2 linked regions of the Neurospora crassa OR74A genome follow. The protein of the gene in region 1 interacts with the protein of each later gene in a pairwise test. Links are inferred from orthologs where the notes say so. Each region holds a gene or a part of one and is shown in the gene's direction. Other genes may lie near its edges.

The links. The genes of interacting proteins can lie anywhere in the genome.
Region 2: the proteins of NCU09894 (region 1) and NCU09528 interact in binary tests that used the Saccharomyces cerevisiae proteins (3 or more experiments, as listed by UniProt). The link is inferred for Neurospora crassa OR74A from reciprocal best matches to the Saccharomyces cerevisiae genes MAK21 and NOP16.

Annotation. Positions count from the first base shown.
Region 1 is NC_026501.1:3,985,640-3,989,686, forward strand, and holds the start of NCU09894 (CCAAT-box-binding transcription factor), read left to right. Parts: upstream 1-1,247; 5' UTR 1,248-1,252; coding exon 1,253-2,059; intron 2,060-2,116; coding exon 2,117-3,793; intron 3,794-3,855; coding exon 3,856-4,047.
Region 2 is NC_026505.1:4,474,525-4,477,968, reverse strand, and holds NCU09528 (nucleolar protein 16), read left to right. Parts: upstream 1-1,249; 5' UTR 1,250-1,418; coding exon 1,419-1,534; intron 1,535-1,615; coding exon 1,616-2,198; 3' UTR 2,199-2,944; downstream 2,945-3,444. Other genes in the region: NCU09527 (hypothetical protein), read right to left, coding at 3,293-3,444. UniProt on the Saccharomyces cerevisiae protein: Involved in the biogenesis of the 60S ribosomal subunit.

The DNA of each region.
Region 1 (4,047 bases):
ACGGCTAGCACTTAGCAGCTAGTAGGTATACTATACTAAAATAATACATATAGTGAAATTCCTAGTATTTGTTAAGTATTTGCATTTATTAGGTCTAGCATTTACGAGGCACATTACTATAAATAGAAGTGTCCGGTGAGTGGGATTCATTAGTAAATCCAATATATACCCCACGGGCACTAAACTCCTAGTTGTAGGTCCTTCTACAAGTTAATACTAGTTTGTTTGTTAGTTTGGTTCTTTAGCTATACGTTGAATAGGAGAAATTGTTTAAAGCTTCTATTAGCCTTTAAAGAGAGAAAAGGGCCTCTGTTGGAAGCGTTATATAATAATAGCCAGGGTGGAAAATGCTATGGAAGCCTTCTTATACCCCTCTTTGTCTCATTTAGGACCTCCAAGACTGGAAGATATGAGAGAGTAGTCCCCTTTTAGTACCTGTCTGAATGAGGTTCAAACGTTTTTCCTACCCTCGACATTTGGTAGCTGGCTCTAGAGTAGAAATTGGCTTTTTTTTAGTACTAAACCTACAAACACACTAAAGTTAGATTGTACAATTCAATTCTAAATCAAATATTGAAAAAGTTTAATTGTACGGTCAATATTATCTATCCGTACGGTAATGAAAAATAGACTTTCATATTCTTTTTCTAACTTAATAGAGTTTAGTATTAACTTACCAAAATGCATTATATTTTTTCTGATCTTTTACTCTATCTAACACTCTTTTTGGAGTGACCAGACCTACCTAGTAGCCCTAGGAAACTCTCAAAGAAGATAGCTATTATAAATAAATAATTAATAAGATTTTAGATGAAAAAGGCTTAAGGGGTAGTTTTTCCATGATGCTTAGGGATATAGATTTGGTACCTACCTTAAAAAATTCCTCAAAAATGAACGAATAGTTTGGTGCCACTTTCAGTTTCATTAGTCTCCGTTTTACTAAGTTATACTTAATAAAGCAAAAGTAGACCACCGTACGGATAGACAATATTAACTGTACGATTAGACTTTCTCCAAATATTACCCAGCGTAGGACTTAACACTTTTAGCACTATTTCAGGCTTGCATCGCCAAACTCCACCGAATGAAACTTGATAAGAAAAAGTGTCAATCGAAGTACCGCGCCAATGATGAACCAGCCGAGGTTTGGAGAGTACTGCATAGTACATAGAGATTTGTCAGTGTACTGTGTACATCTGTACCTCCACTTGCTCCACTCTTCCTGCAAGACGCACGAGGGTCCGCTAGGTGCATGATCCAAGCATTTTTTTTTCCAACCCTTCCTCGTAGATGGTTTATTTTGCATCACCAACAGCCAACCTCGAGACACATTGTGCCGGCCCGCTGTCCATTGATTTCGGCAACGACGGATTTAGGAGATATGGGCTCATCCAAGTCACCGAGGCAAAGAAAGAGGAAAGGCATGGGGCCGGCTTTCGACGAAGCAGCAGCACTTGCTCAACTGACCGAAAAGATCGACCAAACTCTCGCTGGCGTCGGCACTGACCAACACGCGTCACCAAATCGCAAGAGACCGAACACCACAGCTGATGATCGAGATGCAAAGAGGCGCCAGAAATCTCTACTGGGCACTGAAGAAGGACAAGAGGACCGTTCCAGCAAAGACCAGTCCCACAATGCAACAAAGGAGGTTCTGCTGGAGGAAATTTTGGCCTTGGGCGGAGACGAGGATGATCTTGAGCTTGTCGCCAATGTTGATTCCGACAATGAAGAGGGACCTGGCATGAAATCTGCGTCGGCGCCCGAAAAATCCCTGGATAAGTCATTTCATGAGGAACTGACAAAGTTCGCCTTGAGCCTGGGCTTCCAGAACATACCCCGCGAGGATGACCTTGAAAGCGTGTCGTCTGAAAACCCCGTCGACGAGGAACAAGACGAAGAAGACGACGAAGAAGAGGACGACGACGCGGAACAAACAAAACAGGATGACAGCCAGGATCAGGAACAGCCTCTAGCCATTTCTGCCACAGTAAAAAGTGAGAGCACAACTACGACCGCCCAAGACACCCTGCGCGGGAAGAAAGGCAAGAACAAGCTGGTTAGTTCGACGCTCTCGCTGCCGCAGACTTACCTGGCGGTATGCTAACTTGAGTAGGGTTTTGAGCCCAGACCTGACTGGCATGCTCTCGACCTCGAGGGCCTACCTGCCTTCACACCATCTGCCGACGTTAGGCAATATTCTTCAGCGATTGCCAACCTCAAAGCTTACGCGGACGCTCTCTTGAAGGAGGACGCGGCAAGATACAACGCCCTCCAGGCCTCCAGCTCCACTCAGAAGTTCATGTCGACCATTATGTCTTCCGGCACCTTATCCGACAAGGTATCTGCCTTAACCTTGTCGATACAAGAGTCTCCTCTCCACAACCAGAAAGCCTTTGAAACCCTGATCGGGTTGGCCGGCAAGAAAAGCCGTAGTCAGGCACTCGCTGCCCTGGGCGCTCTAGTGGATCTGCTGGGCAATGGCACAGTTCTGCCAAGTAATCGCCGGCTTCGTCCGTTCAACATGCAACCCGCCTTGCTGGCCGCTTTACAAGATCAAGCTGTGCTGCATTGGGTTCAGGGCCAGAAGCTCCCAGCCAAGCTAACTGATTCTTACCTGATGATGTGGGCATACGAGGATTGGCTCAAAGCAGCGTATTTTCGCATTGTCCAGCTCCTCGAAATCTGGTCGACTGATCAGATTGAGCATTCGAGAATGCGCGCGCTGGAATTTGTTTTCACATTGCTCCGGGACAAGCCGGAACAAGAGGCCAATTTGTTGCGACTTCTTGTTAACAAACTCGGTGATCGCGAACGGAAAATTGCATCTCGGGCGTCATACCTCCTCTTGCAGTTGCTCAACATTCACCCTGCGATGAAAAGCATTGTCATCAGCACGGTAGAGCAAGAGGTTTTGCTCAAGCCAGGCCAAGGTCTGCGCACCAAATACTACGCCATCATCACCCTGAATCAAACCATCTTGAGCACCAAAGAGCCCGCTATAGCCAACACGCTACTCCGAATCTACTTCGAGGCTTTCCTTTCCCTCCTCAAAACTGGCTCATTGGGAAACCTGGAAGCGCTAAATTCCGAGGACAAATCTGGCGGCAGCAACAGGAAAGCTAAGAAGGGCAAGCGAAATCACACCGAGGCTTCTGCCAACGAGCAGGATACGACACAAAAACTCGTATCCGCACTGCTTACTGGTGTCAATCGTGCGGTACCCTTCACTACCGCCGACGATGAGACCATGGAAAAACATCTCGATACCTTGTTTCGCATCACGCACTCGTCGAACTTCAACACCAGCGTGCAAGCACTCATGCTCATTCAACAGCTCGCCGTGACCAAACATCTCGCTGTTGACCGATTTTATCGGACATTGTACGAATCATTATTGGATCCCAGACTCATCACGTCATCGAAGCAAGCATTGTACATGAATCTACTTTTTCGAGCCCTGAAGAATGATGCCGACGTGCGGAGAGTGAAGGCTTTTGTCAAGAGATTGGTTCAGGTGCTTAACCTGCATCAGCCGTCCTTCGCATGCGGGGTGCTATATCTGATTTCCGAGCTGGAGAACATGTTTCCTGACCTTCATTCGTTGCTTACTGTTCCCGAGGAGAATGAAGATGATGGCGTGGAGGCTTACAAGGATGTCAATGATGATGCGGCTCTGCAGCGCAGTCTCTTGCGTGAAGACGCACCAACTTCCCGTCGTGCCACAGGATATGATGGACGAAAGAGAAATCCCGAGCATAGCAATGCGCACAGAAGCTGCTTGTGGGAATTGGTAAGTGCCTATTTGAACTCTGATTGCATGTGAAACCAGTTTACTAACCTCAAAACCACCAGGCTCCTCTTCTATCTCATTTCCATCCATCCGTACACGTTTATGCCAGTAACCTTCTCGTCCGTCAAAAGGGCCTGCCGAAGCCGGATTTGGCCAACCACAGCCTCATGCATTTCCTGGACAAGTTTGTCTACCGCAACCCCAAGATTACCGAGACCAAGCGCGGAAGCTCAATCATGCAGCCGGTCCTCGCT
Region 2 (3,444 bases), on another chromosome or scaffold:
TGTCCAAGTAGTACGTACATAAGTACTGAGAGGTATACCTCCTCGCCGCTACCACTCCCCACATCCCGCTCGACATGTATCCAACTACCCCCTCATTTCGACTAAACCTCATGGCTAACGAAGTCTACGCCTAGACTTAACAGGAAGGTGACTATCCCAAGCATGGCCCCCCTCATCAAGTTCTGAATATCTCCATGTTGCATTGAGGTTGGATGGGGTTGAAGAAGGAGGGGGAGGTGGGTAAGATGTTGAGTTCTGCTGCGAACTATGGGCTGGGCGTTTGAAGAGAGAGGAGTTGGGGAAGAAAAAGCAAGACCTCGGTCGCTGTCTAGGTACTTGTATAGGCAAACGTCTAGAACACCATGAAAGACAATTGGCTGGCCACTACAGTACACCTATGTATGTCGAACGGCTTCCCATTCTGCGCAGTGTTCTTCCGGGCTCTGATGGGCATTGGCCGGCATGTAGCAGGGTGATGATGACCGAGGCACTTGAAATGAACATGTCAACAGTTAGGTCGCATACTACCGAATGTCTTTGGAAGTACAAGGCTGACATTTGAAGGCGGGTTGGATTTGAATAAAAAAGAAATGAAATTTCAGGCATGACCCGCGTGCCTGCGTCGAATGGATAGTGGCGGGGGCCATGGAGGGTGTTTTGGGGATGGGATGAGACGGGAATCAAGTTGCCCTACCGGAAAACTTGCAAAGTGCGTAGCTAGTTATTTAGCAATGATTACAAGTCTGTTCATATCTCCAATGGGTAATGATCATGGTGACAATGGTGAGGTGGTGACTGGCGCGGCCGCTGGCGCCTCACCAGTTGCGAGCAGAACAAGAAGCCGCGGCTATGATGGCCGTGAAAGTTAGGGTCCAATTCCGAGGAAATAGTCGTTAGGTAAGTTGCCATCATCACCCTTGGGAGAAGGATTGTTGATGAACGAACTGGTGACGGCAATAAAGGCAAGCAAGATACAAGAGGATTAGAAACGGAACCTGAGGAAGCGGTATTTATGTACGTGCTTACATACAATACACCACTTACACTACCTAGGTACACACTTACGCAGTAGGGACTGTATCTTTATTACGGCCCTCTTGCCAGCTGGCGACTGGACTGAGGGAACGTACCCAAGCTTGCCAAGTAACGAACAACCTGTAAGGTCGATAAGGGACAACAGCCCCACTATAATTCTCTTATCGGACAGGAGCCATTGCAGTTCCAGTTCAATCGAGTTCTCTGGGGTGGTTTCCCCCGAAATTTTGGTCAACTTCCGCCTTCGTTGTTGTTGTCGCCGTCATCGTTCTTTGCTGGTTTACTCCCATTTCGCCTTCTTCTTCCCAGCATCTTTTGGCAGTCGAACTCCTGTCCTTTCAGCAACACCACATAGTACCTACTTCCCGAAAACCACAGCAACAATGGGCAGAGAACTTCAGAAGCGCAAGAAGCGCTCGTCTCGCGCCAAGGTCCAGACGCATACCATCAAGAAGAAGGTCTTGAACCCCCAGGGCAGCGGCATCGTTGCCAAGGCCTGGTAAGTACCTTTCTCTTCTTTTTGTTGCCAGATATTCGAGAGGAGATTCAGTACTGACATGCAAAAATTGATGTACTACAGGAACAAGAAGGAGACCCTCTCACAAAACTACTCCCGCTTCGGTCTCGTCGCCAAGCTCGGCACCGCCGCCGGCGGCATGGCCAAGAAGTCCGCCGCCGCCAACTACGCCGGCATCACCAAGGATGATCCTTTGGCCGTCAAGTCGGCCGATCGCGGCCTGTTCGAGGTCCGCGAGGTCAAGGTCGAGCGTGACGCCTCGGGCAAGATCGTCAAGGTCCTGCGCTCGGACAACCCGCTCAACGACCCGCTCAACGAGATCGAGTCCGACTCCGAATCCGAGGAACCCAAGCCCAAGAACCCAACCCATGATATCGAATGGCACGGCATCAGCGACGACCGCCAGGAGATGATTGCCCAGAGCAGCCGGCCCGAGGTGGTCCGGATGCTCGAGGAGGAGGCGTCGCGCCCTGTGGAGAAGACGGTGCGCTACCAGAGCGAGCGCGAGCTAGAATGGCTGCAGCGACTAGTGGCTAAGCACGGCGACGATGTAGCTGCCATGGTGCGCGACATCAAGTTAAACCCGATGCAGCAGACCAAGGGCGACATTACCAAGCGGTTGAGGAAGGCTGGCTTGTTGCAGTAAAGAAGCGGACGAAGAAACGAGGGAGGGGAAGAAGGGGGCAAATTGCATGCGCGAGTGTGATGTGAACTTCATCATCACTGGAATGTGACTGCTTCTTGCAAGGGGATGTTCTTGGGATCACCGGTGAGCTCGGTTTGTGGTCTGAAGATAAGGGTAGAGATGAGGGAGCCTGGCGACAAATGCCCGGACCCATGTCCAGTCTCGTCCTGTAAGCTGGGCTACGAGAGTCGGCGGGAGGGAGAAAGAGCGACCCAACACGGCTGATCCTTCAGCCGAGATGGCTCTGCTCGACAGGTCTCGAAAGAAGAGAGCAACGGATTTTGTCTTTCTCTCTTTGTCTCTCTTTCTCTCTCAGACTGGTATAATGCCAGTTAGACTCTCCCCGCTGTCGCCTCATCATACTTCGCTTCAGGGGGCGACCCTCTCGTGGAATGGGGAACTGGCAAAGAAACAGGTGACGGAGCTACTTCGGCTCGCGCTCCCTTGCTCAACGGTAATGAGCAAAAGCAAAACGGATGATGGGACGGGAACCAGGATTTCTTGTGCAGCATACATACTATTCATTAAGGCCACGGGCGTTTTAGGCGTTTCTCAAAGTACATGAAAAGAATTAGGGCCATTGAGCCATCCACATATATCGTATCATATCTTGTTTGTCACCTAGAATCATGTTCTACGTAGATCTCCACAAATATGGGAGAGTTTAATAAGAATGACACAGATACAAAGCATTCCATGAAGCCGATATGAGAGCTTTGTGATTCATTGTTGATGCACGAAGATATCTCTCTCGTTTCTATGCATGATAAACCAACAAGGACCTGTGACGCCTCGCCAACGACACCCCATAAAACAAAGCCTACACACATACATACACAAGAAAAAGCCCAAAATGTTTCGTCTAGTGCCAGCCAGCCCCCAATAACAAAAAAAAAGAAAGCAGGTAGCCAAGACACTTTGTACATGACCTAAGCATGCTGCAGCGTATAGCTACCCGGTATTGCATCCGCTTCCAGATCCAAAGTCGATCAGTCCAGCTCATCCATATCCCTTGACTTGAATTCTCGACCCTTCTGTTTTTTTTAATCCCATTCTTACACATTCCCCCGTTCGATTCCTACTCGGCCGTAGGGCGCAGTGGGAAACCTTGCCGATGGCTCATCCTCGTAGTCCCCATCATGCACACTAGGCGGCGCGTACCTGCTGCCGCCGCCGACGGAGGATTGATAATCGTTATCGTTGTCAA